Stegostoma tigrinum: one gene and its partners. The protein of the gene in region 2 binds, or shares a complex with, the protein of the main gene of each other region. Links are inferred from orthologs where the notes say so. Each region holds a gene or a part of one and is shown on either strand. Other genes may lie near its edges. The genes, in order: chrm4a, guanine nucleotide-binding protein G(i) subunit alpha-1, free fatty acid receptor 2-like and lpar1.

Region 1 (7,076 bases), on a different chromosome or scaffold from region 2:
TACATGAGATTTAATGGGGCCATTCCCAGATAGGGGTAATGTCAACATTTGGGTCAATGAGGAGCTAAGATTATTCATTGTAGAGGGTGACCTTTAATGGGAGATGAATGTTAAGCATGTGAACAGGTTTGTTTCCACATTGAAGCTGTTATCCGTTGATTAGTTGATGATGAACTCAAGATTAGAGCCAAGCAGGTCAATTTAAGATTGGAACTGACTTTCTGATTGATGGGGGCAAGCTTGATCGAAGCTTTTGTTTCTTTTATTTTTACTTTGAGCTGTCCCTCTTTAGACAAGTGTTATAGACTGAGAAGTTGTATTTCTGAAAATTGGATTCCTCATGGAAGCTATTGGATTGGATTTTGATGTAGAAATGCAAGTGATCTTAACAGCATTTACCATAATTTATACACAAAAAGTATACGCACTGTGATTGTAATTGCTGGAATGTGGAAGTTGCTGTCAGGGTTGCCCAATTTCTTCATAAGCTTCCCAATTTTACCATTTTGCCAACTGGCACAGCACTTACATAAATTGGGCAGCATTACACTCTTATCCTCACCTCATAGATATCTATAAACTTCAAAAATTGTAAGGGTTCTTCCTTTTCAGTATAAATACCTTAGAAGTTGTGTGATAAATATTTATTGCTGTCAAACAGTTTCATTGGTGATTAAATTAAGTTTTACAAGTGCAGAGTCTCATTCTTTCACCTTGCAGTTATGGTTGAAAATCTCTAGACAAATTGAAATAACTTATTTTCATGGATAATCATGTAAGGAGGCTATTGGGCCCTTTGTTCCCATGCTAGGCTTATCACATTAATCCCTCTGTCCTACCTGCCCCCATAACCCTGCAAATTCTTTACCCTCAAGACTTTAGTTGAAGTGATTCCATGGCAGCTCCAGGCAGTGCAATCCAGAAGACAACAAACTACTGTGCAAATATAGTTTCCTTGTGTCACCTCCAGTAATTTGCAATCAGATATGAGTGTATTCCCTTTGGTATTAGTTACAAATATATTAAGTACAGGATTTGTTCTAGATGGGCTTTTAATCACACATAAAATAGTCTTATGTAAGTTTAATAAACCAATGGTAACATATCTACAGAATGCTCTAAGTATGCTTGTGTAAGCTGGGAGTGCTCTTAGCCAGTTTGCTTTGATATAGTCTCATCAAAGACTGTTTAATATGGACCAGTTCATTTAAAAAAAACTGGAATTCTGTGAATTACATTAGGAACCGAGAGATCAAGAGATGTTTGTGGCAAGGTTAGAGTGTTTTTGAATTTTGAGATTGTTTCTGCTTGACTCCTGACTGCAGTTAATATACATTGTGGTTTGATTGCTGACAATTGAGTTCAGCTGGACTGTACAGTATTTGCTTTTCTTTTGACTGTGAAGCGAGTCTTACCATCTATTCCTTGCTTTAATGATGGATTTGGGGTGTCTTAGTGTTTAGGGATTTTTGAAACAGGTGGATTGATTACTCATTGTTGGATCCACGATGTTCAGCTTGCTTCACTGATTGGACTTAAGTGAATTACTTATGAGATGGTTCTGACCTGGACTAAGGGTGATCCTAAGGTTGCTGTGGACTATTACAGTAAAGAGTTCATTCAAAATTTTAGTTTTTACTTGCTGTCTAATCCATTCACCTGAGGCTTGTTTGCGCTACCGGATGGATCCAGTGTAGTGATCATTTCCAGGAAATGAGATTCTCCATCAATTATACTTGTTTGGATCTGAATGTTACACTTTAACCCCCCGTTTCAAATTCGGGCAGTGAAATTTGCTAGGAAGCACCATGCAATCAGAAAACAACATTGTTAGTTAGTTGCCAAAGTTAAGAGCAATTTTCCTGGTGGCTTGGTTGCTGGAAATTTTGAAGGGGAAACTTGGTCATAGATATTGGACATTATCCCAACATCATGAGAGGCAAGCTTATGTAAAGCTGACATAGGGTGAAAATAACTCAAATTACGTTAAACTCAATATATGATGGATCCAGGAGTTTTAAGTTACAAACCAGTTTTGAATTAACTTACGAAGTAAGAATAAAGGGGAAGCCTTTGTCAACATGACATTCAGGTGATTCAAACAGAATACAACTTCCATTGTAAATCAAATGGATCTTAACTAGTAAAAGTCTACAGGTTTCATTCTCCTGATGGTAAACACGAAATATCAGAGATCAGACCAAACAAATACTGCTGCTATTTATAAAGCAGACCACCAAGACAAGTACGTTTTCACTATGGTTAAAAGATTTGCTTTGACTTGGGAAGGGTGTGTCTAGTATTTTATCAGTGAGAACATGAGAAAGAACGGTGCAGGCATCTCAAGAGACAAACGCGCTTTTTGATCGATCAGAAGAACCTTGTATTTTCCCGTAAGGTTCAAAGTTGTAGGAAACTTCCACTTAGCTCTCAGTTCGGTTTCGGGCGCTGAACAAGATAACGGCAGCCCGCATACCAATCTCAGGCGTGTTTCTGTAATACTTCCAAAAGGAAGCATCATCTGAGCGAGAAGCCACACACTGACCGAGCGCAGCGCGGATAGCTAGCGGGCATTGAAGACAACCTGACGGGCAAGGTAATAGATGTCAGCACTTACTTGAAACACTCCGCCGCCTCCATATCTGCTATCGTAAGAACTCTTGAAGTACGGTTACAATCCTTGGGAGGATTTGCCCAGGACTTGTTGGAGCTGGAATCGTTGCGCTACCTGCCAGTCCGTCTGCTGGCTGGGAGTTACGGACAAATTCTTCGCGCATCTGTCGAACCTCTTTTGGAACATTTTCTGAGTTACTCTTGGGGAAGGACACGTCTCGCCCCAGCCCAGCCCTGTCCGCCCTACTTGGTCGCCGCCCTTTAAGGGGGCTAGGGAATAGACTTCCCTGCTCCCATTCAGCCGCGTTGGGAAAGCCGGTGGAGACTGAGGAGGATGTGATGCCGCCCCGTTAAATCACTGACTCTTTCTTCAGTCCAGAGAAATAGCGGCAAGCCAATAGCGGTGATGTAATGCAAATGCAGCCAATCATCAGAGTCTCCCCATCCCCAGGTTAGAATATACATTAATCCCCCACCAAGCACAGAGGCTATTTAACGCTGAGGACTGTCAAATTGGAGCGGTTCGGGACCATTAAATTATCCAGGCTCAAGGATTTACGGGGTTCTTAATAATCGGCTGCCAAATTGCTTTTATTTTTTCTCTGCACCCTTCACAAATTTGAAGTCTGTGTATCCTTTTTTTGGGGGGGGGGGCGCGAGGTGGGATGCAGTGCGGGGAATGGAAGTGCTGGCTGACATCGCAGATAGAAGGGAGGTGAAGTCAGGGGATGATAGAGCAGTGAAAGTTAGCACATATCTAGGCGACATGCCCACTGCACTCAAATGTCCAAAGCTCACAAAACGGAATAGAGATGAAGCCATGTGCGGTTTTATGTGCGATTGCAATTGGGGAGCGGGTGTTCCCGTCGTAGAAAGTGGTTCGACTTTGTGAAGATCTTTCTTACTTCACAGCCTCACTACCTCTGTGTGCATGTTGTGGATCACCCCGGCTCCGAGTGACCTGGGAGAGGGTGTGGGACAAGGGTTAGGACAGGGGCTGGGTAGAAACTGTTGCCCTGAAATTACCCTTGGGCACAGGTCAGCCGAGGCAGCCAAGAATTTTGGCACTGGCTACTCACACTTGATTTCTTTTCACTCCAGCCTCCCATCTCCTTCATTCAGAGCCTCCTGCTACCCCTACATCAGTGGCAGTCATAACAATGCAGCACTGAACAAATGTGTGTATCAAGGGATGACTATGGGATTCATATTGAGAGAAGAGCATGTATGGAATGCGATGGCTAAGTATAGGGGCACAAAGTGAGACCCTACAAGCTTGCCTTTGATCCGATGATCTGTTTACAATAAACACAGTTTCAGAACTAGTTGCTTGGAAATTATTTACATTGAAAGCTAAAATTTGTTTTTTTTTCTTCTTTAAATCATTTAGGACCTTCTAAAATCTTCAATGTTTTCATCATTCAGGGATGAGCATGCATCCTGTTAGTGGAAGTGTGTGGGAGCACCTCGACAACTAAGCAGGTAGCACTTCCTGCAAAGAGCAAAAGTACAATTTTAAGTCTCTAAAGAGACTTGTGTCAATTCTGTTAACCCCTCTCTGACAGGTAACCCCCAGCTGTAACCAGTGCACTGAAACACTGAGTGCCGAGGCTACCCTTAATCCTAATCCTAACATCAGAAATTACCTCTTGCTAATCCTACTGTTAATTCAAATCCAACCTCAAAACTCCTGTCACATCAGTCTGCACCAGCCTTTTTTTATAATCTTATACTCGTTCCATGTGGTCAGGTTGATAAAGGTCTCTATTACAGGGTTGGTGGGGGCAGAGGAGTGTTTAGGAGAAGGAGGTTAAGTCGCTAGGAAGGGAAAATTTGTATTTCTAAATGAATGACATTTTTGTATCCCAAGAGAGTCGACCAACACTGTGAGCATATTGCTCTTTAGAATAGTAGCCATCCTGGTTTCCATAGCATTTCTAGCTCACACATTATTCAATCTACCTCAGTGGTGCTCTGTGCTGCAAAGGAGTTTCCTCTTGCCCTACTTTATTTAAGTCTGTCAGCAAAACCCTTTTATTTCCTCCACATGTGCTTTTCTGACTTTTACTTGAATACACCAATCTTCCTCGCCTCTATATTTGATATAAGTAAAGTTAGACCCTATTGATTGATGCGTGCATGCTATCTCTGTCCATTAACAGGCAACATTGCAAAGAGGTCTAGACATCTCTCAGTCATCTTTGTCTACATTACAGCTGACAGACTACAAAAGTAATTGAATCTCTTGCAAATCTATACATTCACAGTGCAGGGAAATTGTTATGTTAATATTCTTTGTCACTCCTGATTAACCTGCATGTATTTCAACCATGAATATTCCCTAATGTAAAGCCCCACAGAGCCCTGAACGATTCCAAAGAGGAAGCCTTCCTTGCATGTATCGTCACAGTTAGATTTCTGCATTAATTCAGCAAAAACTGGGCTGTTTAGCCTCGGTAATTTATTTCTCAGTTTCATGGGCTGGCCTCGTGTGTGATTTATTTACGAATGTGATCTATTTGTGCTTCATATTGCTACTTTCACCGCACCATACAATGAGCTTCTTGACGCAGTCCCTGTATTTTGCAAGTTTGTTTAGCAATCAACATTTCAGCACCGTGGACAAGGACTCAGGCTCATGTCGCTGCCCGTGGTGCTGACATCGCCCCATTTACAATAAAACTGACATTTCGGGTCGAGGCCTTTGCTGCTCCTCCGAGGCTGCTTAGCCTGTTGTGTTCATCCGGCTCTATACCGTGTTATCTCAGATTCGCCAGCATCGGCAGTTCCAACTATCTCTGCAAAATTGAACGCAGTCTCGCACACTGAATTCGCGCAACAGTTCTTAAAAGCGCCGCGACGTCTCAGTTTGAACCACAACACACAGTCATGTCCATAGGTCTACAGAAAACATAATACGAAGTGAATAGATATCAATCTCAGGTCAGTCAGAGCGCTGTGACCTCTAAGTGAGAAGGATGTGGTTTCAAGACCCACTTGATTTGAATACGTACTTCAGGTTGGCACTTTCAGGCTAGCAGTGGGAGAATGGTGCGAGGCGGGAGATTCTAACTTTGGATTTATTTGATCAATCGAAGGCCTCTTCTACCTCTCAACTGGGTCTAAAAACAGGTGGTTAATGAGAATTCTCAGCGGTGTCTTAACCAAAAGATATCAAACAGCTAAGCAAACAGATTGTTTTGTTACCTGATGTGCTCCAGTTCTTACATTTATAGTGTCTTCATTTCAAAGGGGCGCTATTTCTGTAAAACCTTGCGCCATCTCGAGCAAAAGTGCATATATGTGGCAAGTTTTTCTTTAAATTTGGAGGGGGGGGGGAACAGTTGCTGGGCAAGGACAAATCATTGAAATTGATTATTGATGAAACAATTCTTTGATTGTTCAACTCGTCCATAGACTGTCGCTCAGTCCTTATTTTTCTCTTTATTTGGACAGCGTTGGGCGAGTCAACTCATATAACACTGTGAGATGAATTATAACAAACGAATGTATTTGAGAGAACCGCCGAGTCGTGATATCCGTGGTCAAGATAGTTGTGTTTCTGTTGTGTCTATCTTTTACTGTCTCTCTCCCCCGTCGCTCTTGTTAAATAAAGTCAATGTTTTAATGAAATGACCTAACTGTCAAAGTGGGTAAACAATGATTCTGAAGTACCGCGGGCGTCCACATTAAATTAGTGGCGTGGAAAACTTTCAAATGATCTTCCGGAAGCCTGCATCTGAGATAAATGACGTTTAATTATAATTCAGTACTGCAATTGGGGATAAAGCAACTCGGGTTTTTTTTTTGAACGATGACAAAGGTAACACAGAGACAAGAACGTACTAGGTTTTGAAGAAGTCTCCTCTTCGGGATGAAGTTTAGTGTAGCTGGCGGGGACTTCTCTGAATTGTCTGGTTTATGCGAATGCAGGACGCTTTACTTGCCTGACAGGATGGGCAGGATAGACTGTAAATATTCCCGATTTATAGCCCAAGGCAGCGAGAACAGACAAACAGAGATGTCGTGGCGAGTGTTTTGTTTGACGTTTCTTTGTTTGAGATTTCTTCTCGCGGGAGATGCGGAATGGTTCATTCGCGTGTAACGGAATTGAAAATTAACTTTGCTGCTTCAAGGGCCATGGGATTCAGCCGTATTCCCGATTTAGCCCATTTTTGCTGAACAGAAAGGGTTTTGCAGAATGTGGAAAATTCAGACAGAGTGAGAGAGAAATGCAGAGAAATTCACGGGAGACATAGTACTTGAACCTGGGGAGGGCGGTTGAAGTCGAAGTGATGGTGAGAAATAACTGTTGAAAATACTAAATCAGAGCTGCAGAAAATATCAGCGTCAGGGGTGTGCACGGCGATGTCAGATCCACGTGAAAACTACACAGAGCGAGAAATGTGACGGCTCCCAAGGTGGGTGGGTGGGTTGCGGGAGAAAGTGGAGAGGGGGCGCAA
Region 2 (6,832 bases):
CATACATAATTCCAGATTCACCACGTTCCGACATGAGCAATGACAAGATAACTGTTTTTAAAAAAAAATGACCATGAAAAATTGAGATTCTTGATTTTGAGGAAAAAGAGGTCAATTTTCCACATGAGGATTTAATGACTAGATGAGAATCTGATTAGCCAGTGGTGAGGGTCTTATTTGCATATATTAACATCTCATTATTACTTAATCCTTCTTCATTTATATGCACATTGCAATTTTCCCAGCCAGGAGTAAAAAATAGTATAGCAGCAATTCTCAGTATGAAAGTCAGTGCAGTTACTTGGTGGCTGCAACTTGCCGATGTCATTTTCGTGACTCTAGTTTGACCGTCATTCCCAGCATCTTCAGGTATGCTGCATGGGTGGTGAAAACATGCATCCTCTATCCAAAGAGGTTGGCATTGGTAAAAGAACAGCATCACCACATCACAATGGCATATCTTAGACTCATTTATTTGACATTCAGCACTTCAACACCATGATGCGACAGGCAGCTATCTCATGCATTGGAACAAGATACATCTCGGGACTCTTAGTTTGCTTTCTTATAGTTCATTTGCTTTGCAACTACTTCAATGCTTGCAGCATCCCTGCATTGCCTTTTTGCACATTGCCACTTAATGAGAACTTGTATACTCAAACTATTTCCATCATAGTTTGCCTTTTCACACAGACACAAAGCAAGATAACCTGTCATGCCAGCAATAATCAATCAAGGGAGTGGACATGTTGCTGTATGGCACTATGCTACATCAGTCTGGCACTTACACCATATGCTAATAGCTTATGGGAAAGACATATTTGAATCATTTAGAAGAGGAGGATTCTGGGTAATCCAAGACCAGGAGACTCATTGAGGAGCTGGGAAAATTCTTCCTAATGTAAGCTTTTGAAACCCTAACACTGATCCCTGTGAGACTCTAATAGTAGCGGCTTGCCAACACACACACACACTATTTTCTGTTTGGTAATGAATCTTTTATCCATGCTAGTATGTTTCCTTGACACCATTTGATCTTATCTTGAACAGCAACCTGATGTGGCACATTATCAAATGCCTTTTAGAAATCTAAATATATCACATACACTGGCTCCCTTCTATCCAATGTGGGTGTTACCTCATCAAAAAAAATCTCATAGTTCAGTTACGTATGACGTTCCTTTTTAGAAAGCAATTCTACTCAAATGTTGAGTGACTTTCAAAGTATCCTTGCTAAAATCTCATTATTAATGGATTCAAGCAAATTTCCTATGACAGAAGCTAATCTAAATGCCCTATAGTTTCCTTTATGCTTTTGTTCTTACTTGAATGTTACATTTACTACGCTTTCATTTGCCTAAACCCTTTAAGAATCTAAGGAATTTTGGCAGATAATAGCCAATACATCTTCCACCTGGGCTGCCACTTCTTTTTAAACAATAGGATGCAGGCCTTCTGCTCCTAAGGACTTGTCAGCCTTAAGATTTTACTTTACAGATTTATTTGGTAGTTAGCAGTTACTTGTTTTCTCAACAGCGGTAAAGAAGACACCAAATTTTAGCTCCCTAGAATTTTTCAGTTTCATGCTCAAAAGTCATGAATTACTTTTTACTATTTGACCTAATATTTTCTAATACTTACCACTTAAATTGTAATCGAACTCTTGCTGTATATAATCCTAAAACATTTGAGCAACTTTAAGTTCACATATATTGCTATATATTAATCATTACTGCTAATGACTCCTATCAGATTGAACCACGTCTTTAGTAAAACACAATTTATTTTTGTGTATATTTCTATTCGGATGAGATTCATTATTTTGCTCACATCAGTGTTCTGCCTTAGTAGTTCTCTCTGTTCAAACACAACAAATATTAGATATTATGTGGATTTGTTAATTTCCTAATTTCTTATGGCATTTAAAATTCAAGAACAAAAATTTAAAAGTAACTCGGACTTACTACTGTGTGAAAAATAACACAGCACTTTTTTTTTAAGATTAGATTCCCTACAGTTTGGAAACAGCCCTTTGGCTCAACAAGGCCACAGCACCCCCTTGGAACATCCCACCCAGGCCCATCCCCCTATAACCCACACACTCCTGAACACTGGGCAATTTAGCATGGCCAATCCATCTAGCCTGCACATCTTTGGACTGTGGAAGGAAACCGGAGCACCTGGACGAAACCCACGCAGACACTGGGAGAATGTGCAAACTCCACACAGACAGTTGCCCAAGGCTGGAATTGAACCTGGGTCCCTGGCACTGTGAGGCTGCAATGCTAATCACTAAGCCACTGTGCTACCCCAAATGAAAATGTAAGTTTAATACTCTCTCCAAGGAACCAATCAACATTATGAAAGAACATTATTTTGTTCCTTAAGAGTATCGACTATTCATTGATTTTCCTGGTCAGCAGTTCTTTACATTATTACCATATTCTCTTCAGGCATGCGTACAGTGTGAGTAGGATTGAGGCAGGAAAATGGTGTGTCAACAATGGTGGGCTAAAGGAAGGGAGGTTTAAGAACTTCTGAAATCAGAGGAAGCAAAAATAGCTGGAGGTTATTACAAAGGTAAAGTAAATATGTCATAGCAGGAGTTAAAAATGATGATAAAGGCTTTAAGTTTAATATTTTGGGGAAATATGGAAACATTCAACGAATGCGAAGGAAGCTGAGTAAGTGGATAGGACACATTTATGGAGAGTAGTGCATGATAGACTAGCAAGCGAGTATATGAATGGTCAAGCCTAGAGGATGAAAAAAAGGGCTGAATAGGGTTAGAAGGAAAATAATGTTACGTTGTTGAGGAAAGCATTCTTTATGGAGGAGATAGCACAATACATAATTCAAGTGATGTCCTGAAAAGCTCTTATGACAATTTCTCTGGTTTAGCCTGAGAGAGTTATTGGATTGGAGTTGGAGTTAGAACCTACTTAATTTGCTGAGTTTAATTTGTGATATGCAAAAGATAATGTGAGCTATGGTTCACTTGGTAGCACTTGTACCAATAGTCGCAAGATTCTGGGTTCAAGTTCCACTCCACATTTTTAGCACAAAAATCAAGACAGACACCATAGTGACAAACTGGAGTCCTATATTTGTCAGAAGTGTCACCTTTTGGATCAGACCAAGTTAAACTGAGTCCCCATCTGTTTGGTCAATGTAAAAGAACTTTACATTGTTTGGGTTAGGGTTATTTGGTAGAGATGATTCAGTTAGATGAATAAACTGTTTCTGTTCTTACGTCTTAATAGTCACATGACCTATATTTTGGAACTATTTTAAAAAACATGCTTATCTCCCCTACCCTGGCTGATTATAAACATCGCCTTTTTTTCGCTGTGAACAATCACATTGCTGTTTGTGGGAGTTTGCTCTGCTCATAAGTTTCCTACATTGGTCAGTACATTTCGAAAAGTACTACTTCGGCGTAAATTAAGTTTGTCACGTGGTTGTGAAAAGCGTGATAGAAATGCAAGTGTTTCTACGTTGATTTTTCTCCAGTCAGTACGGCCCATCTGTATTAAAAGACTTGAAGTGGGGACAGGGCCGGATAACTGAGAATGTTAGCACAGACAGACAGAATAAGATGAAAAGATGGGGTGAAGAGTTAGACGCCAGAATGGAAGGGGTGTGTGACACGGAACATCCAACAGCCAACAGCAAAAACATATTTACACAGGTCGGAAATCGGCCTTTGTGGCTGTTGCCATGGGTTACCAGCCGCTTCCGTTGAGGCGATGCAGGCGACGCGGGTCTGACATCCGGGTCCCAGCGCCAACACGGTGTAGTACCGCGCATGCGCCGCAAGCGGATGGCGATCGGGCAGTTGTTGTTTGGCGAAGAATAAATAAATGAATCAGTCACTTGATTAATTTATGAGTTAGAGCTTCGGGGGGTGGTAAGGGGTATCGAACTGCAGGGAGGAGCTGCCTGAGGCTTGTCCCGATATCCCCGGGCGACTTTTTCTGTCTTCTTTTTCTCTCCCCACCTAATTTTGAAAGTGTTGCCTGGTTTCTGGGGAAACGGAAGCCACTTGTGTCGGGGGGCTCTGAGAGGAAACTGCTGCTCACTTGGAAACGCACGGAGAGAAAGCTCAGCCAGCAAAATGGGGTGCACGCTGAGTACCGAGGACAAAGCGGCGGTCGAGAGGTCCAAGATGATCGACAGAAACCTGCGGGAGGACGGGGAGAAAGCGGCGAGAGAAGTCAAGCTGCTGCTGCTGGGTGAGTGCGAGTCGGGGTCTGGAGGGAGAGGCTGGATCTCACCGACTCGATGGGGGGGGGAGCGAAAATGGCTCTTCACTATCCCTGCTGCCCGCATCCGTTCTTAGACCGCAACATCTAACTCACGCTGTCATCGCAGCAACTTTTTTTTAAATGCTGGGTTCACTCTCTTCCCCACACCCCCCCCCCCCCCCCGCTACCTGCCGCATAACCACAGTTTTTTTTTCGAGTATTTTACAGGTTTAGAGCTTGCTATCACGGCTTACCATCCAGTCTTTTTCTCTCATTCCTCCCCCTGTTTAGTACCGAAACAAAAACCGTTTTAATTAAAAGAAAAGGATGCTGGAAATATGAAACAAACACGGGAAACGCTGGAAAAATCCGGCAGTCTGGCAGTGGGAGAGGGGAAGAGTTGATGTTTCGAGTTTAATATCACACTTGAGTCATATTGGATCGAAATGTTAACTCTTTGTGTCTCCTCAGAATTGTCGTTTTGCCCAAAAGCATCAGCAGCGCGCAATTTATCTTCTGTCCTGAATGCCCAATAACACCAGCTGCCGCTTATTTTATTGCCGGCTAAAACAGAATTTGGATTTTAAAATGTACAGGAAATGAAACAATAAGATATCGCTACTTTTTTCGGTCTGCTTTGGTTAATTAAGAAAGTTTCTTATAAACCATTAACCAATTGCGCGATGTGTTTTTAACTTGCGCTAACATGCTGCTGGCATATAATAAAATCGGTTGCCGAAACTGAAATCTCATACGTCTTAGTTTCATTAAAAATTCAAATCTTGCGCGCATCTTCTTCAAGGTTTAGACTTTTAGAATACACAATGGAGGTAAGCAGACAATGACATGAAGCATTTATTCATGAGGTTTCCGCGTTTAGTGAAGCTTAATTCTCTGTTTGATCTCGAGTAAGAGCGTTATGGAAAACCTATTTGCAAGTCGTCTTCACGTGGAGTATCTCGGTTTACTGAGTTCTTATGATAGTTTGATTTACTATTAAACATCACAGATTTTGGGTGTGTTTATTACTTGAACAATTATTTCTCGTTTTCAGGAAGCAGCATTGCAGCATTCATGATGTAAATAGTGGGAAAATACGTTATGCATAAATTCGTAAACATTTGTTTCTACAGATCACAATTTAAAAAGAAATGACCTTAATCGCAATTCATTATCCTGGCAAAACAATGAATAGTGAATATCTAAGCAAATCTAAACGTCTTTCTTTATGCACTTATTGTTAATACCATGGATTAAAACTAATGCCTTTCAATTTTGTGGTTTTAATATTGCATCCTGATGGTGCTATCGCTTGTCTTTTATTACATATTATAATTAGGATGATAATACAGGGATTCTGGTGAGGTTATTTTTAGTGTAAACTATGACTGTGTATTTGTTGTGTTTCAAAGCCAGTTTTCCAAAGGGAGTTGCCTGTTGAAAATTGGGAGACTCTGACAATCGAAATGTAGTTCTGTACATTGCTAGCTAATTTCAAGGTTCATAATGAATTACCTAATGAGACAGCTTTGAGATGTGTGCTTTGCTATGTCTTTTATTTATTCATTTCTCCTGTAATGAGAGAACATGTCTTGGAATAGTTTAGACAGATCTGTTAACACGTACTGTATTTGTTATAGCAATTGAGATTGTAACTGATAATTGGAATAGATAATGTAATAGCATTAGACTAGAACAGTGTTGTCCAATATGTTAGCTACCTTGTCAAATGAGCAAATTATTAAAATTAGCAATATAAACACCGTTGAGCATGTGATCTCAGTGCTCTTATTGTCATGGAGTATCTTCAGTTGTCACCAGTTTGTGCATTTTTTGGTAAAGATATAGAAGCCAAAGAGTGTGGATGATTTTTGGTTGAGTGTAGTAAACTTGGGAATGGAGCAAGAGATGATGTGGCCTATGAAGCCTGATTTGCCATTTGCTATGATCATAGCTGAACGTTAGGATAAACCTTCAATTTCTCACCTATTTCCTATACTCCATGATTACATGCAAAATTAAAATGCTATCTGTTTTAGCTTTAAATATACACAATGACGGAGCGTCCACAACTGTCTCAGCTGGAGAGTTCTAAGGATTCTTAAGACCAAAGTGGATAATGTCACACTTCTCTCAGTATACTCCATCTGTCACATTGTCCACTCATGTAACCTGTTCAAATTTTTTTGCAGCTGCGTTGTGTCCTTGAAACAACTTGTTATCCCACCTAGCTTTGTATCATCAGCCAAGTTAGACAAAGAGAAATGCATCTAAATCAAGGATGTAGTTTCTAAGTAGCTGATGTCCCAAAACTGATCCTTATGACTCTCCACTAGCCCCAACTGCCATCTTTCCTTGCTTTTCGCTGTTCTGCCCATCTTTATATGTTGCTCCCCCTCTCTTGTGTGTTAACTTTCCATGTGGCACTTTTTATTTGATACCTTTTGAAAATTGAAATATGCAGTAAGTTCTGCCAAAATGCAAGTTTTGTTAACAAATAGGCCGTAATGAGATTGTTGATAACGCAAACTTTTTGCTGTACAGATACAGTGATTCTCCTATAGCAATTTCCCTGTAACGCAATT
Region 3 (7,077 bases), on a different chromosome or scaffold from region 2:
GGTGTAGGGGGCTGGAGGAGGTTATAGAGATAGATAGGCAGGGATATAGGGTCTGGTGGAGGTTACAGACATAGGGAGGGGTGTAGCGACTCAGTATCGTCCCAATTATTCCTCCGGTTCCTTAGCATGTAATATATTGGGTGGCCATGCGAGGGAGCACTAGGCTTAATATTCATTCTTTTATTTTCTTACTCGGGGACTACGGGGAGACGAGGCTGTGAACAAATCTACATTCAAAAGCTAAACAGTGTTACGTTTAGAATACTTTTCTTTTTCACTCACCTTTTTTCCGTAGGTAACAATGCAATAGTCAATTCTACTTTGTTTCTGATCACATATTGTGACAGTGCAGTACTCCCTCAGCACTCACGTTACGACAGTGCAGCATTCCCTCAGTACTGACCCTCTGTCAGCAGGGCACTCTCTCGGTACTGACTCTCCCACACTGTGGCATTCCCTCAGTACTCACTCTCCGACAGCGCAGCACTCCCTCAGCACTGACCCTCCGACAATACAGCCCTCCCTCAGCACTGACTCTCTGAAAGTGCAGCATTCTCACATACCGTCTGACAGTGCAGTACTCCCTCATTCGTGACTCTTCGACAGTGAGGCACTCCACCAGCAGTGACTCTTCGACAGTGAGGCACTCCACCAGCAGTGACCCTTCGACAGTGAGGCACTCCACCAGCAGTGACCCTTCGACAGTGTGGCACTCCACCAGCAGTGACCCTTCGACAGTGTGGCACTCCACCAGCAGTGACCCTTCGACAGTGTGGCACTCCACCAGCAGTGACCCTTCGACAGTGAGGCACTCCACCAGCAGTGACTCTTCGACAGTGAGGCACTCCACCAGCAGTGACCCTTCGACAGTGAGGCACTCCACCAGCAGTGACCCTTCGACAGTGTGGCGCTCCACCAGCAGTGACCCTTCGACAGTGAGGCACTCCACCAGCAGTGACCCTTCGACAGTGAGGCACTCCACCAGCAGTGACCCTTCGACAGTGTGGCGCTCCATCAGCAGTGACCCTTGGACAGTGTGGCGCTCCATCAGTACTGACCTTCTGACAGTGCGGTACTCCCTTGGTACTGGCCCTCCCACACTGTGGCACTCCCTCAGTACTCACTCTCCGACAGCGCAGCATTCCTTCAGCACTGCCTGCGATGAGTTCCCACATGTATTTTGATCTGCAGCAGTTGTTTTCTGCTTTGTTTCTCTGAGTGAACAAGCAGCTTTCCCTGTTATCTATCTCAGTCTCTGTGATGACAGTGATGTGTAGACTTCAGTTCGGACCAGCTCCAGAAGTTATGGTCTTGTGATCAGGAGACTTGATCAATTTCAGGAGAAGATTTCAGTGAAATTATAAACCAAATCCATCCTGTATTAACAAGGTGTAGAGCTGGATGAACACAGCAGGCCAAGCAGAGTCAGAGGAGCAGGAAGACTGACGTTTTGGGCCTAGACCCTTCTTCAGCATTCCTGCTCCTCTGACCCTGCTGTGTTCATCTAGCTCTGCACCTTGTTATCTCAGATTCTCCAGCATCTGCAGTTCCTACTATCATCAACTGGTGTAGTTCGCTTTCCCTATTATTCTCTTATTGTCTGTGAGGTCTTGACATTTTAGCATCAACTCCTCGATATTTTGTGACCATATCTGAAATACCCTCTAAATCCAAAACTTACAGAATGCCTTTATTGTGCAGATGGACATTAAACCTTGGCCGGCTGCAAATAAATTAATTAATTTCAGTTAATATCTATTAAAGTTTGTTCAATTTTCCTTACAAAAGCCATTTCATTCTCTTCATGATTCTGAGTTACACCTATCAGCACACACTTAACATCCCTTGTCACTCAGAACAGGCTAAATTGTTCAGGTAGTTTATACATAAATAGGATTTTTTGGAGAGAAATGCACTGCTCATCATCTTACAATGGTTACCTCCTTTTAGTTGGTTAAACTGGTGGTCTGCATTGCTGGTGAGGCTCTCGTTGGCTATCTGACCTTCAGTGCCCCTTTCGAAATGTTTTGGAGAGCCATACCATTGATGTGACTGAGCCACCCCTTTCTGAGAGCAGTGAGCATGAAGTCAACAGACACTTTGAGGCAATTGAGATTTGAAATTCTCCTTAGTTCAAGATATTCGTGAACCACAGATTCACCTGGACAGTTAAGGCAGAGAAGGAGGCTGTTTGGCTGTTGTCTGTGCTTGCGATCCCTGGTTTGGAAAGGAAGCTACTCCCATGCACTACTTCTGTACCCCAGTGGCTCAGAAGTCACTTTCCCGTACAGTCACACAGCATGGAAACAGACCAGACCACACCAAACATAATCCCAAACTAAACTAGTCCACCTGCCTGCTCCTGGCCCCTCTCCCTTCAAACCTTTTGTATTCATGTATCTATCCAATAAACTTTTAAACTTTGTAACTGTACCCACATCCACCAATTCATCAGGAAGTTCATTCCACCCACAAACCAACTTCTGTATAAAAAAAAGCCTCGTAAATCTTTCTCCTCTCACCTTAAAAATGTGCCCCCTAACCTTGAAATCCCTCATCCTACGGAAAAGACAATTACCATTAACTGTATCTCTGCGTCTCATTACTTTATAAACTTGTATCAGGTCACTTCTCAACTTCCTGTGCTCCAGTGAAAAATGTCCCAGCCTATCCAGCCTTTCTTTATAAACTCAAACCTTCATACCCAGCAACCAGTGGACACACCACTCCAGAAGATGCCTCACCAATGTCCCATACAAACTCAACATAACTTTCTAACTCCTATACTCAAAGGACTGAGCTTCTGGCAATGATCCATTTTCCTTTCAAAAGCTTCAACTGAACCTACCTCCACCACCCCCTCAGATAGAGCATCCCCACATGCATATCAGTTGCTGTGTGAATTACTGTGCCCAGTTCTGTTCACCCCGTTATAGGAAGGATGTTATTAAGCTGGAGAGGGTTCAGAAGAGATTTACCAGGAAGTTGCCATGTATGGGAGGTTTCAGTTGTAAAGAAAGGCTGGATAGGCTGGGACCTCTTTCAGTGGAGCTTTCAGTAGGAGCTTGATAGGTGACCTGATAGAAATTTATAAAATAATGGAGGATTCAAGGGTAGGGGACACATTTTTAAGGTGAGAGGAGAAAGATTTCAAAAAGTCATGAGGGACAATTTTTTTTTACACAGAGACTGGTTTGCATGTGAAGTGAACTTCCAGAGGAACTGGTGGATGTGGGTACAGTTACAACACTTAAAAGACATTTGGATAAGTGCATGAATATAAAAGGTTTGGAGGGATATGGGCCAAGCACAGGCAGGTGGGACTAGTTTAGTTTGAGATTATGGTCGGCATGGACTGGTTGGAACGAAGGGTCTGTTTCCATGCTGTGTGACTCTATGAATCTATGAAAAATTGTGATAGGTTTAGGAGTAAGCAGTTGCTTCTGTTGCAACATGACGTTCCAACTTCCATACTCAATGCAGTAACCAATGAAGGTGAGGTAGAATGTATTTTTCAATGCAAGTTGTTGCAATCTGCAACATTCTGCCTGAAACAGCGGACTGAGCAGATTTTACAGGAACTTTCAAAAGGGGGTGGCATGATGGAATCATTTAAATACTGGGAGAGGAAATATTCACAGAGGCAGTGGCAGGAGAGAGAGAGAGACAAGGAGAGACACCATACCGATTGCAGAGATCTTGCAAAGAGACAGAACTTGTTTGCTGGCCTGAATGGCCTCCCCCTGGAAAGCAGGATAGCTATGGCCTTACTGCATGTGGAGTACAGACACCACATGCAGTCATGTTGTCAATTCTTGGAAATAATTTGCACAGGGAATGGAGCCAACCCACCAGATAAACACACATCCTTCAACAAACAGTTCATCAGAGTTCCTGTTGTGCTGGTTTTGATGGTAAATATCAGACAGTAACAGGAAATACAGGATTGTGAATTCATTGGTCACATATGGTCAGACAGCAAGAGACAGAAAGAAGGAAACACGTACATTCAGCTAGCACCTCCCACCCCCTCAGGACATCCTAGAATAAAACAAGCAATGATATAGTCAGGGAAGATGAAAGGCATTAAACCGAAAGGGAGATACAACACTGAGGAAGCACAGAACTGTTGGAGTGGGGGAGCGCCTCACTGTTGGAAAGTTGGTGCGGAGGGAGTGCCACACTGTCAGAGGGTCAGTACTAAAGTAGTGCCGCGTTGTCGAAGGGTCAGTGCTGAGGGAGTGACGCACTGTCAGAGGGTCAGTACTGAGGGAGTGCTGTACTGTCGGACGCTCAGCACTGATGGAGTGGCACACTGTCGTAGGGTAAGTGCAGAGTGAATGCCGCACTTTTAGACGGTCAGTGTTGAGGGAGTGCTGCACTGTCAGGTTATCAGTGCTGAGGGAGCATCGCACTGTCAGAGGGTTATTGCTGAGGCAGCAAAGCACTGTGGAGGGTCAGTACTGAGGGAGCGCCAGTGCAGAGGGAATGAGGCAAGTATTGGAAGGTCAGTACTGTGGTAATGCCGCACTGTCGAAGGGTCAGAGCTAAGGGAGCACCGCACTGTTGGAGGGTCAGTGCTGAGGGAGCACCGCACTGCCAAGGGTCAGTACTGAAGGAGCGCTGCACTGTCGGAGGGTCAGTACTGAGGGAGTGCTGTACTGTCGGACGCTCAGCACTGATGGAGTGGCACACTGTCGTAGGGTAAGTGCAGAGTGAATGCCGCACTTTTAGACGGTCAGTGTTGAGGGAGTGCTGCACTGTCAGGTTATCAGTGCTGAGGGAGCATCGCACTGTCAGAGGGTTATTGCTGAGGCAGCAAAGCACTGTGGAGGGTCAGTACTGAGGGAGCGCCAGTGCAGAGGGAATGAGGCAAGTATTGGAAGGTCAGTACTGTGGTAATGCCGCACTGTCGAAGGGTCAGAGCTAAGGGAGCACCGCACTGTTGGAGGGTCAGTGCTGAGGGAGCACCGCACTGCCGAGGGTCAGTACTGAAGGAGCGCTGCACTGTCGGAGGGTCAGTACTGAGGGAGTGCTGTACTGTCGGACGCTCAGCACTGATGGAGTGGCACACTGTCGTAGGGTAAGTGCAGAGTGAATGCCGCACTTTTAGACGGTCAGTGTTGAGGGAGTGCTGCACTGTCAGGTTATCAGTGCTGAGGGAGCATCGCACTGTCAGAGGGTTATTGCTGAGGCAGCAAAGCACTGTGGAGGGTCAGTACTGAGGGAGCGCCAGTGCAGAGGGAATGAGGCAAGTATTGGAAGGTCAGTACTGTGGTAATGCCGCACTGTCGAAGGGTCAGAGCTAAGGGAGCACCGCACTGTTGGAGGGTCAGTGCTGAGGGAGCACCGCACTGCCGAGGGTCAGTACTGAAGGAGCGCTGCACTGTCGGAGGGTCAGGGCTGAGGGAGTGGCACACCGTCGGAAGGTCCATGCTGAAGGAGTGCTGTACTGTTGGACCGTCAGTGCTGAGAATGTCTCACTAATGAATATGGAGACTTGAACTGTGCACAATTCTCCATGTGTCATCTAACCGCAGGATATTAAATACATAAACCGCATGCTGGAGGATCCCAGTGATGATGTTTGAAGAGGCTTTGACTGATTCTCTTTCAGCACCGTCCTGCAGTTAACCACCAGAGAGAGAGAGAGAGCAGGAGAGAGTCAGGAGGAAGAACAGGGATGTTGGAGAATCAACAAGATTAATGCCATCGTCAAACTAATAGCCAGATAATCGAATAAATAGTGTTGTGCACACCAGCTGTTCCCAGAATTTGGAGGGACACGTCATGCTCTGCAGCTGTTCCTGGGAACTGCCTTTCACCAACACAGACTGGTGATTAATTTATGAAATTAATTCCATTGTCAACATTTCATTGGGATCATGAATGATCACATTGGTGCCTCTTCACTGTGTTTCCACAGAAACAAAGGTCACGATTAGCTGCTTGAGGCACTGAGAGAGTAAATCTAACAATAATGATTCAGCACCTCTCTGTTTATCTCAAACCCTGTCACATGTGTATTCAGTTCAGAAAAATCTCTTGTTGCCTCAATGAATAAACGAAGCTTTCCTCGGTAAATTCCACCTCAAGGGAAACCAAGTTGTTGTCTGTCCCACTCAAGGAAGGCACAAGATCAATGGGAGTTGCTCAGAGGCTATTTGGCCCACTGATTCTGCCCCTCCCCTGCAAACTCTGATCTTCTCCTACCCCCAGTGTCTGGAATGTTCAAAGAAGCAAACGTTCCATCCTATTCTCTCAGCCATTCCATCCTCTAGCACTCAAGAAGTTCGCAAGATTGAAAATCTTGAGCTGTAACCTTGAGCCTCCCGTACCGCAATTGAGATCTGTAGCACAGGAAAGGCCTTTTGGCCCATCTGGTCTGTACTGGACTAGAAACAAGTGACTAACTATTCTAATCCCATTTCCCAGAACTTGGCCTTGTGTGCTTTGGCATTCCAAGCGCAAGTTGTGATAGCACTGTGCCTTGAAGAGAGATGTGTTCTGTACTGTTTCTCTTGGGCTTGCCACTGTGGTATCAGAATATATGCTTCAGAAGCAGTGGGCAAACAACTTTTTTTTTGTAAATTAGACAGAAGTAGCATGAGTAGGCAGAATCAGGTTCACACAGACCCAGCTTTTTAGCTTTGCTTTCTGCTGGAATTTCGGCAGTTAAAGCTGATAAATACAACTCTGTCTCTCTCTGCAGTAGCAAAAAGCTCAAGACTTCTCTCTGCTGCTAGACTGTTTCTTTTGCTGGTCCTTTCTCCTGCACTGGAGAGAAAGGGAACATGCAAGAAAACCTGTTTTGCTGAATTTGCCTTTGTCAAGGATGCGCTTATGAGATGCTACCTCTATTGGAATAGTTGATGATTAGTAGTTCAATAATTTATTTAGTACTTCAATAGAATTAATGTTACAGCAATTCTCTTTTTTATTTTTGTGTTTTAGTTATGTGTAAGAATAAAGTGTATTTCGCTTAAACCTAGCCATGGACCAAATAAATTACCACTGGAACACAGCACCTTACACTTTTAAATGAGATAAATTAGGGCCCTGGCTAACTCCTGACTA
Region 4 (6,933 bases), on a different chromosome or scaffold from region 2:
GAGCAATTTATACTTTCACAACCTTCTCGAAGCAAATGCTGGCTCTGGTTTAAATGTCTGAATGAAAAGACCGTCTCACTGTCTTAAGCAGACAGTAGCTCCGCTCACACTGCGCCCTGTTTCCCCAGTCTGTCTCCGCCCACAATGCACTCTTTATCCCAACCTCTTACGCTCTCCGCCCCATTTTTCCCGGGTCTCTGTCTCTCCTCCCCGAGCCCAAACTGCCCTGTTTCCCCGCGTCTCTCGTTCTGCGGTCACACGACTCCGTTTTCCTTGGTCTCTCTACGCGTGCACTCCCACTGCGCTCTATTTTCCTCTGCACCCTCGAAATGCGCCCGCCCTACGCCGTTTTCTCACCCCCTGCTCAGCTCCCATGCTCGCTTCTTCCCCTCTCTGTCTCTTGCTGTGTGTGTGCCCACACTGCACTCCTTGCCCTGTGTGTGTGTGCGCCCACACTGCACTGCTTGCCCCGTGTGTGTGTGTGTGCCCACACTGCACTCCTTGCCCTGTGTGTGTGTGCGCCCACACTGCACTCCTTGCCCTGTGTGTGTGTGCCCACACTGCACTGCTTGCCCCGTGTGTGTGTGTGTGTGTGTGCCCACACTGCACTCCTTGCCCTGTGTGTGTGCGCCCACACTGCACTCCTTGCCCTGTGTGTGTGTGTGTGCCCACACTGCACTCCTTGCCCTGTGTGTGTGTGTGTGTGCCCACACTGCACTCCTTGCCCTGTGTGTGTGTGCGCCCACACTGCACTCCTTGCCCTGTGTGTGTGCCCACACTGCACTGCTTGCCCCGTGTGTGTGTGTGCCCACACTGCACTGCTTGCCCCGTGTGTGTGTGTGCCCACACTGCACTCCTTGCCCCGTGTGTGTGTGCCCACACTGCACTCCTTGCCCCGTGTGTGTGTGTGTGCCCACACTGCACTCCTTGCCCCGTGTGTGTGTGTGCCCACACTGCACTCCTTGCCCCGTGTGTGTGCCCACACTGCATTGTTTGCCCCGTGTGTGTGTGCCCACACTGCACTGCTTGCCCCGTGTGTGTGTGTGCCCACACTGCACTGCTTGCCCCGTGTGTGTGTGCCCACACTGCACTGCTTGCCCCGTGTGTGTGCCCACACTGCACTGCTTGCCCCGTGTGTGTGTGCCAACACTGCACTGCTTGCCCTGTGTGTGTGTGTGTGCCCACACTGCACTCCTTGCCCCGTGTGTGTGTGTGCCCACACTGCACTCCTTGCCCCGTGTGTGTGTGTGCCCACACTGCACTGCTTGCCCCGTGTGTGTGTGCCCACACTGCACTGCTTGCCCCGTGTGTGTGTGTGTGCCCACACTGCACTCCTTGCCCCGTGTGTGTGTGCCCACACTGCACTCCTTGCCCCGTGTGTGTGTGCCCACACTGCATTGTTTGCCCCGTGTGTGTGTGCCCACACTGCACTGCTTGCCCCGTGTGTGTGTGTGTGCCCACACTGCACTGCTTGCCCCGTGTGTGTGTGCCCACACTGCACTGCTTGCCCCGTGTGTGTGTGTGTGCCCACACTGCACTGCTTGCCCCGTGTGTGTGTGTGCCCACACTGCACTGCTTGCCCCGTGTGTGTGTGTGTGCCCACACTGCACTGCTTGCCCTGTGTGTGTGTGCCCACACTGCACTGCTTGCCCCGTGTGTGTGTGTGTGCCCACACTGCACTGCTTGCCCCGTGTGTGTGTGTGCCCACACTGCACTGCTTGCCCCGTGTGTGTGTGTGTGTGCCCACACTGCACTGCTTGCCCTGTGTGTGTGCCGCTCTGAGATCCGGCTTCCCTGAGCAGGGCGAGCCTGCTGCTGACGTCAGGCCCGTGCCGCCAGCAGGCTGGGTCTTAATTACTAACACATTTTGCTCGCTGCCTGATGTTAATATATACATACACCTTTTTCTGTTTTACGAAGTCTAAACTGCCATCCCCTCCCCACCTCTATTTTAAATACTAATCGTATTTTTCACATAGGGGTTGGGGCACGAAGGGGGAAGACAGATTTGTTCATCTGGTTTATTTTAGAAAAAGTCTTCCTGAAATGTTATTTCATTTATCCTGGAAAACGTGGCCGGATTCGTCAACTTGGCAATGACCGCCCTTTCTTTTCTATTTCTCTCTCATTGAATGTCTTGTATGTGTAGGTTGGAAACCTTATAGTCAGCCCTGTAAATAATAAGTGGGTGGAAGAAAAGATAGCGAATTGGTGAATGAGGATTTTGTTTTATTTAACATTCCTATTTCACCCCCAACCTCTTAAAAAGTTATTTGAGGTCGTCAATAGTTTGTCGCAAGTAATATGCAAACAGGATTAACATATCATATAAAGGAAGGAATATTGAATGAAGTTGCATGTTTTAAGTGTTTGCAAGGTTAACGTTCCCAAATTAGAAAAAAAAGTTAAGCTCAGTTGCATGTAAAATTCGCGAGGGAGTTGTTTCGTCTAGCTTTGATTATATATAAAAAAAACACAAGTGCAAAACACCAACTCGTAAAACTCAAAACATCGAACGTTTTGAGCCCAAGTTTATTTTCTCAATTCTCGGTCCAGGCGTTGTAGAGCTCCGAGCTCTGCAGCACACGGTCACTCGTTAAAACGCTTCTGTTGTAGAAGGCGTTTTCTGTTCAATCCGTGAGACCGCCTCCTTTACTCCTTGTTAGTGACTCGATGCCTCAGAAGCTTTGAGGTAAAACGGAACAGTAAAATGACTAGTTATCCCTCCTCCTCTGTAATAAGACTGAAATGGGAAGTCTAATGTGGAAATTATGCATGAAAACAGATGGCCTTGGAGCGATTCAATTGCCAATCCATTTCTTGCAGACAGTGCAGGAGAGGCAACTGGCCAATGACTTACAGCGAATTTACAGCACAGAAACGGATCTTTTCGCGACATGCTTAGCCTCCCACTCTGTTTAAGCCAGGCTATTCTTTTCTCTGTGTTTTTATTCCCATAACAGCACCAAGGTTACTCACCTCAAGCTTCTCAGCCACGGTGACTTCCACATTCCCACCGTTCCCTGAATAAAGAGGTTTCTCTGGAATTCCTGATTGGGTTTATTACAGACCTTATTAGCAATGACTGTTTAAATATCTTCTCTGCGCCTGACCAATCAAATTCCATTCAACAATTTAAAGACTTGTTTTAGGTCACCTCTCCCACTCCTGTCTTTTCAAAGGTGGAGAATCCTGGCCTTCCTGTTGGATATATTCCCTCTGTTGTTATTATTTGTTGTGTAAATCTGATTAAAGGTTTTACCCTCAAAGATCAATTCTCGAACTCTCTCTCTCTCTCTCTCTCTCTCTCCACAGTTGCAGCCAGATTGGACTTCCAGCATTTTCAGTTTTTGTTTCACATTTCCTGCTGGTTTGAGTTTGTATTAGTGTCTAATTCTGCCCCTATTCAACGGTTATCGATGTTGAAATTAATCAGGCCGTGAATTAAGCAAACACAGGCCTGGTTTCCAATTCTGATGACTCTGTTCAGCCTGCCAGGAACAACAGAGATTGAGTGAAGACACAATGAGGTTCAGTTGTTGTGCTGTTTCCATTTGGTAAAAAGACTGCCAAGTCTCTCGCTGGCAGGACAGACCCATCAGAGGTGGTGGCACAGTGGTGTACAGTCAGAAGGGATTTGCCCTGGGAACCCTGAACATTGACTCCAGACCCCATGAAGTCTCATGGCATCAGATCAAATATAGGCAAGGACACCTCCTCTTGATTACTGTGTACACTTCACCCACCTCAGCTCATGAATCAGCACATCTCCATGTTCATCACCACTTGAATGAATTACCGAGGCTGACGAGGACACAGAATGTGTTGAGTGGGGGACTTCCATGTCCAGCACCAAGACTGGCTCATTAGTAATACTGTTCACTGAACTAGGTGAGTCCAAAAGTGTAAAGCTGCTAAACTGGGACCGTAACATGTGGTGAGGGAGCCAACAAGTAGGCAAAATATGCTTGACCTCGTACTCACCTAGCTTCCTGTTCCATGACACTATCAGTTGGAGTAATGACCATACAGTCCTTGAGAAAACAAAGGCCCCCCTTCACGTCAGAACACCCTATATCATGTTCTGTGGCACTACCACAGGAGGTCATGTACATATAGCACCAACTATATCCAAAATTGAAGTGTCAGCATGATGAAACTACAATGTCGGACTATATCCCTGGCAAGCAGCTTGAGCAGCATGCTAAGTGACCCTATAACCAACAGATCAAGTCTAAGCCCTAGAATCCTGCCACATCTAGTTATGAATGGCTACGGACAAACAACTCACTGGAGGAGGAGATGCCACAAAAATTCCTTTCCTCAATACCTTGCATTACAGGCCAAAAGCCAAGTAATTGTGAGCATTTTCGATCAGAAGCGCTGAGTGAATGATTCCTCTTGACCTCCTGAGACAGCATTTGACTGAGTGTGGCATCTCGGAGTATTGGCAAAACTGGAGTCAATGAGAAATAGTAGGAACTGCTGATGCTGGAGTCTGAGGTGACAAAGTGTGGAGCTGGAGGAACACAGCAGGCCAGGCAGCGTCAGAGGAGCAGGAAAGCTGACGTTTCAGGTCTGGACCTTTCTTTTCTGAAGAAGGGTCCAGACCCGAAACGTCAGCTTTCCTGCTCCTCTGACGCTGCCTGGCTTGCTGTGTTCATCCAGCTCCACACCTTGTTATTGGAGTCAATGAGAACTGGGTGGAAAACTCAGTGCTAGTTGGAATTATATGTGGCACCTGGTCAGTCATTTCAGGTCCAGGGCATCTCTGCAGCAGTTCCTCAGGTCTTTCAGACACTCTAGCTACAAGAACTGATCAGAGGCTGGGAATCCCGTGGTGAATACGCACCTTCTGACTCCTCAAAGCCTGTTCCCACTTACAAGACACAAGTCTGAAGTGTGACAGAATACTTCCCACTTGTCTGAATGAGTGCAACAATACTAAAAAAAAAGCTCAATGCCATCCAGGATAAAGCAGCCTGCTTGATTGGCTCTCCATCTAATACCTTCTACATTCACTCCCTCCACCACTAACTCACAATAACAACAGTATCTACCATCTACAAGATGCAATGCAACAACTCACCAAGACCGCAGAGACAGCATCTTCCAAACATACAACCTCTACCACAAGAGCTGCAGAAGGCCAACAGCAGCAGTTTCTCTCTAATCCTCTCACCTTAGAAAAATATTGCCATGCTTTCAGTGTCACTGGGTCAAAATCTCAGACTTCCTTTCCCAACAGCACCATGTGTGTGCCTAACTCACATGGATTTCAGCAAGGCCTTTGACAAAATCCCACATGGGAATCTGATAAAGGAAGTAAAAGTTCATTGGATCCAGGATAATTTGGCAAATTTGTTCCAATATTGGGTTGGCTTCGAGGCAGGAAATGGAGAGGTTGGAATAAGATGTTTGTGAGACTGGAGTCTGGTGTCCAGTGGGAATCCATAGGGATCAGTCACTGTTTGTGATATTCAGAGAAGACATACATGAAAATGACAGGGGAATGGTAAGTAAGGTTGTGGATGACACAAAGATTGGCCGTGTGATTGACAGTGAGAAGGAAAGTCAGGTGTGCCGATCAGTAGCACAAGGAATTCAATCCTAATAAATATAAGGTGAGTCACTTCAGAAGAAATAATAAGATAAGGGAGTACCCAATCAATGGTAGGACACCCAAAAACTCAGGGAACAGAGAGATTTTGAGATGCTTGTCTGTAGATCACTGAACATGGCAGGACAGGTTAATAGGGTATTTAAGAAGGTATACATGTCATTTGCCTTCATCAGTTGAGATATTGATTATAAAAGCAGGGGGGTATGTTAGAGTTGTAGAGTACTTTCCTTAGACCACAGCTGGAGTACTGTTTGTAGTTCTGGTCACCGCCCCCCCACAATAAGAAAGATGTGATTGCATTAGTGGAATGCAGAGGTGATTAACCAACACATTAGTTGGGATGGAGTATTTCCCTGGGTTTCATAAGCTTGGGTTTTTTTTTAAGAGCCAAGAAATTTGAAGGGGGACCTGACTGATGTGCATAAGATTATGAGAGGCATAGATTGGGTGAAGAGAGAGTGACTGTTCCCCTTAGTCAAAGGGCCACTAAGGGGACATAATTTTAAAGTGAAAGGCAAGAGGTTTTTTTATATAGGGGAAAGCCTTTCTCAACCAGAGGATGGTGGGGTCTGGAATTCGCTGCCCGGAAAGATAATTCAGGCAGGAAACTTCACAACCTTCAAGAAGTACTTGGATGAACTTATACTTGAACTTGAACATTCAAGGCTGTTGGTCTAGCGCTGGGAAGTGAGACTAGTGCAGTAGAATATTTTTCACAGTACAGACTTGACAAGCTGAACAGCCTTAACTGTACTATATGATATCTGTATAATATCTGTATTTCCCAGTCTGAAATATATTTAATGACAATGTTTCAACAGTCCTCTGGGGTAGAAAATTCCAAAGATTTATAGACTTTTGAAGAAGAAATTACTTCTCATTGTCGTCCTAATGAATCCTTACTCTGAGAATGTACCCCTTTGTTTATGATTTTGCCCATGGGAAGTAACAACTTAATGTTTACTCTGTAAAGCCCTTTAATAATTTTGAATGTTTTAGTGAGATCATTTTGCCCAAACTCCAGAGATTATAGATAGTGGCTCAGTAGTTAGCACTGCTGCCTCACAGTGCCAGAAACTGGGATTCATTTCCTGCCTTGAGCGACCATCTGTGAGGAGTTTGCCCATTCTCCTCATGTCTATGTGGGTTTTCGCCGGGTGCTCTGATTTCCTCCCACTGTCCAAAGATGTGCAGGTTAGGTGGTTTGGCCAGGCTAAATTGCCTGTAGTGTTCAGGGATGTATAGGTTAGGTGAGTTAGCGGGAAAAGGGGTAGGGGGCTGGGTTTGGGTGGGATGCTCTTCAGACAGTT

What was found.
Region 1: the proteins of guanine nucleotide-binding protein G(i) subunit alpha-1 (region 2) and chrm4a are in contact, whole or in part, in a cryo-EM structure (PDB 7TRK), measured with the Homo sapiens proteins. The link is inferred for Stegostoma tigrinum from reciprocal best matches to the Homo sapiens genes GNAI1 and CHRM4. Residues at the interface, in NP_002060.4 of Homo sapiens: Arg32, Leu194, Glu318, Tyr320, Phe336, Asp337, Ala338, Thr340, Asp341, Ile343, Ile344, Lys345, Asn347, Leu348, Lys349, Asp350, Cys351, Gly352, Leu353, Phe354; in NP_000732.2 of Homo sapiens: Asn67, Arg130, Cys133, Val134, Pro137, Leu138, Pro141, Ala142, Ile218, Ala221, Ser222, Ser224, Val226, Arg394, Lys397, Val398, Thr401, Ile402, Cys456, Asn457.
Region 3: the proteins of guanine nucleotide-binding protein G(i) subunit alpha-1 (region 2) and free fatty acid receptor 2-like are in contact, whole or in part, in a cryo-EM structure (PDB 9NS9), measured with the Homo sapiens proteins. The link is inferred for Stegostoma tigrinum from reciprocal best matches to the Homo sapiens genes GNAI1 and FFAR2. Residues at the interface, in NP_002060.4 of Homo sapiens: Glu28, Ala31, Arg32, Glu33, Val34, Asp193, Leu194, Phe336, Thr340, Asp341, Ile343, Ile344, Lys345, Asn347, Leu348, Asp350, Cys351, Gly352, Leu353, Phe354; in NP_001357016.1 of Homo sapiens: Gln40, Ala42, Val44, His45, Glu106, Arg107, Gly110, Val111, Pro114, Val115, Tyr117, Lys118, Leu119, Ser120, Arg121, Arg122, Phe202, Met206, Gln209, Pro210, Leu211, Val212, Arg216, Arg219, Ala220, Leu223, Ala224, Phe273, Ser276, Ser277.
Region 4: the proteins of guanine nucleotide-binding protein G(i) subunit alpha-1 (region 2) and lpar1 are in contact, whole or in part, in a cryo-EM structure (PDB 7YU7), measured with the Homo sapiens proteins. The link is inferred for Stegostoma tigrinum from reciprocal best matches to the Homo sapiens genes GNAI1 and LPAR1. Residues at the interface, in NP_002060.4 of Homo sapiens: Ala31, Arg32, Leu194, Gly217, Val218, Thr219, Tyr320, Gln333, Phe334, Phe336, Asp337, Ala338, Thr340, Asp341, Val342, Ile343, Ile344, Lys345, Asn346, Asn347, Leu348, Asp350, Cys351, Gly352, Leu353, Phe354; in NP_001338326.1 of Homo sapiens: Ile84, Tyr85, Arg146, Thr149, Val150, Arg152, Met153, Gln154, Leu155, His156, Tyr225, Tyr231, Val232, Arg235, Thr236, Arg238, Met239, Thr252, Ser255, Leu256, Thr259, Arg314, Asp315.

Annotation. Positions count from the first base shown.
Region 1 is NC_081370.1:1,508,624-1,515,699, forward strand, and holds the start of chrm4a (muscarinic acetylcholine receptor M4), read right to left. Parts: upstream 3,005-7,076; 5' UTR 2,618-3,004; intron 1-2,617. UniProt on the Homo sapiens protein: The muscarinic acetylcholine receptor mediates various cellular responses, including inhibition of adenylate cyclase, breakdown of phosphoinositides and modulation of potassium channels through the action of G proteins.
Region 2 is NC_081378.1:25,784,717-25,791,548, forward strand, and holds the start of guanine nucleotide-binding protein G(i) subunit alpha-1, read left to right. Parts: upstream 1-3,808; 5' UTR 3,809-4,117; coding exon 4,118-4,235; intron 4,236-6,832. UniProt on the Homo sapiens protein: Guanine nucleotide-binding proteins (G proteins) function as transducers downstream of G protein-coupled receptors (GPCRs) in numerous signaling cascades.
Region 3 is NC_081394.1:5,993,430-6,000,506, reverse strand, and holds the start of free fatty acid receptor 2-like, read left to right. Parts: upstream 1-4,071; 5' UTR 4,072-4,193; intron 4,194-5,004; exon of another isoform or gene 5,005-5,083; intron 5,084-7,077. UniProt on the Homo sapiens protein: G protein-coupled receptor that is activated by a major product of dietary fiber digestion, the short chain fatty acids (SCFAs), and that plays a role in the regulation of whole-body energy homeostasis and in intestinal immunity.
Region 4 is NC_081356.1:31,129,497-31,136,429, forward strand, and holds the start of lpar1 (lysophosphatidic acid receptor 1), read right to left. Parts: upstream 3,002-6,933; 5' UTR 2,980-3,001; intron 205-2,979; exon of another isoform or gene 1-204.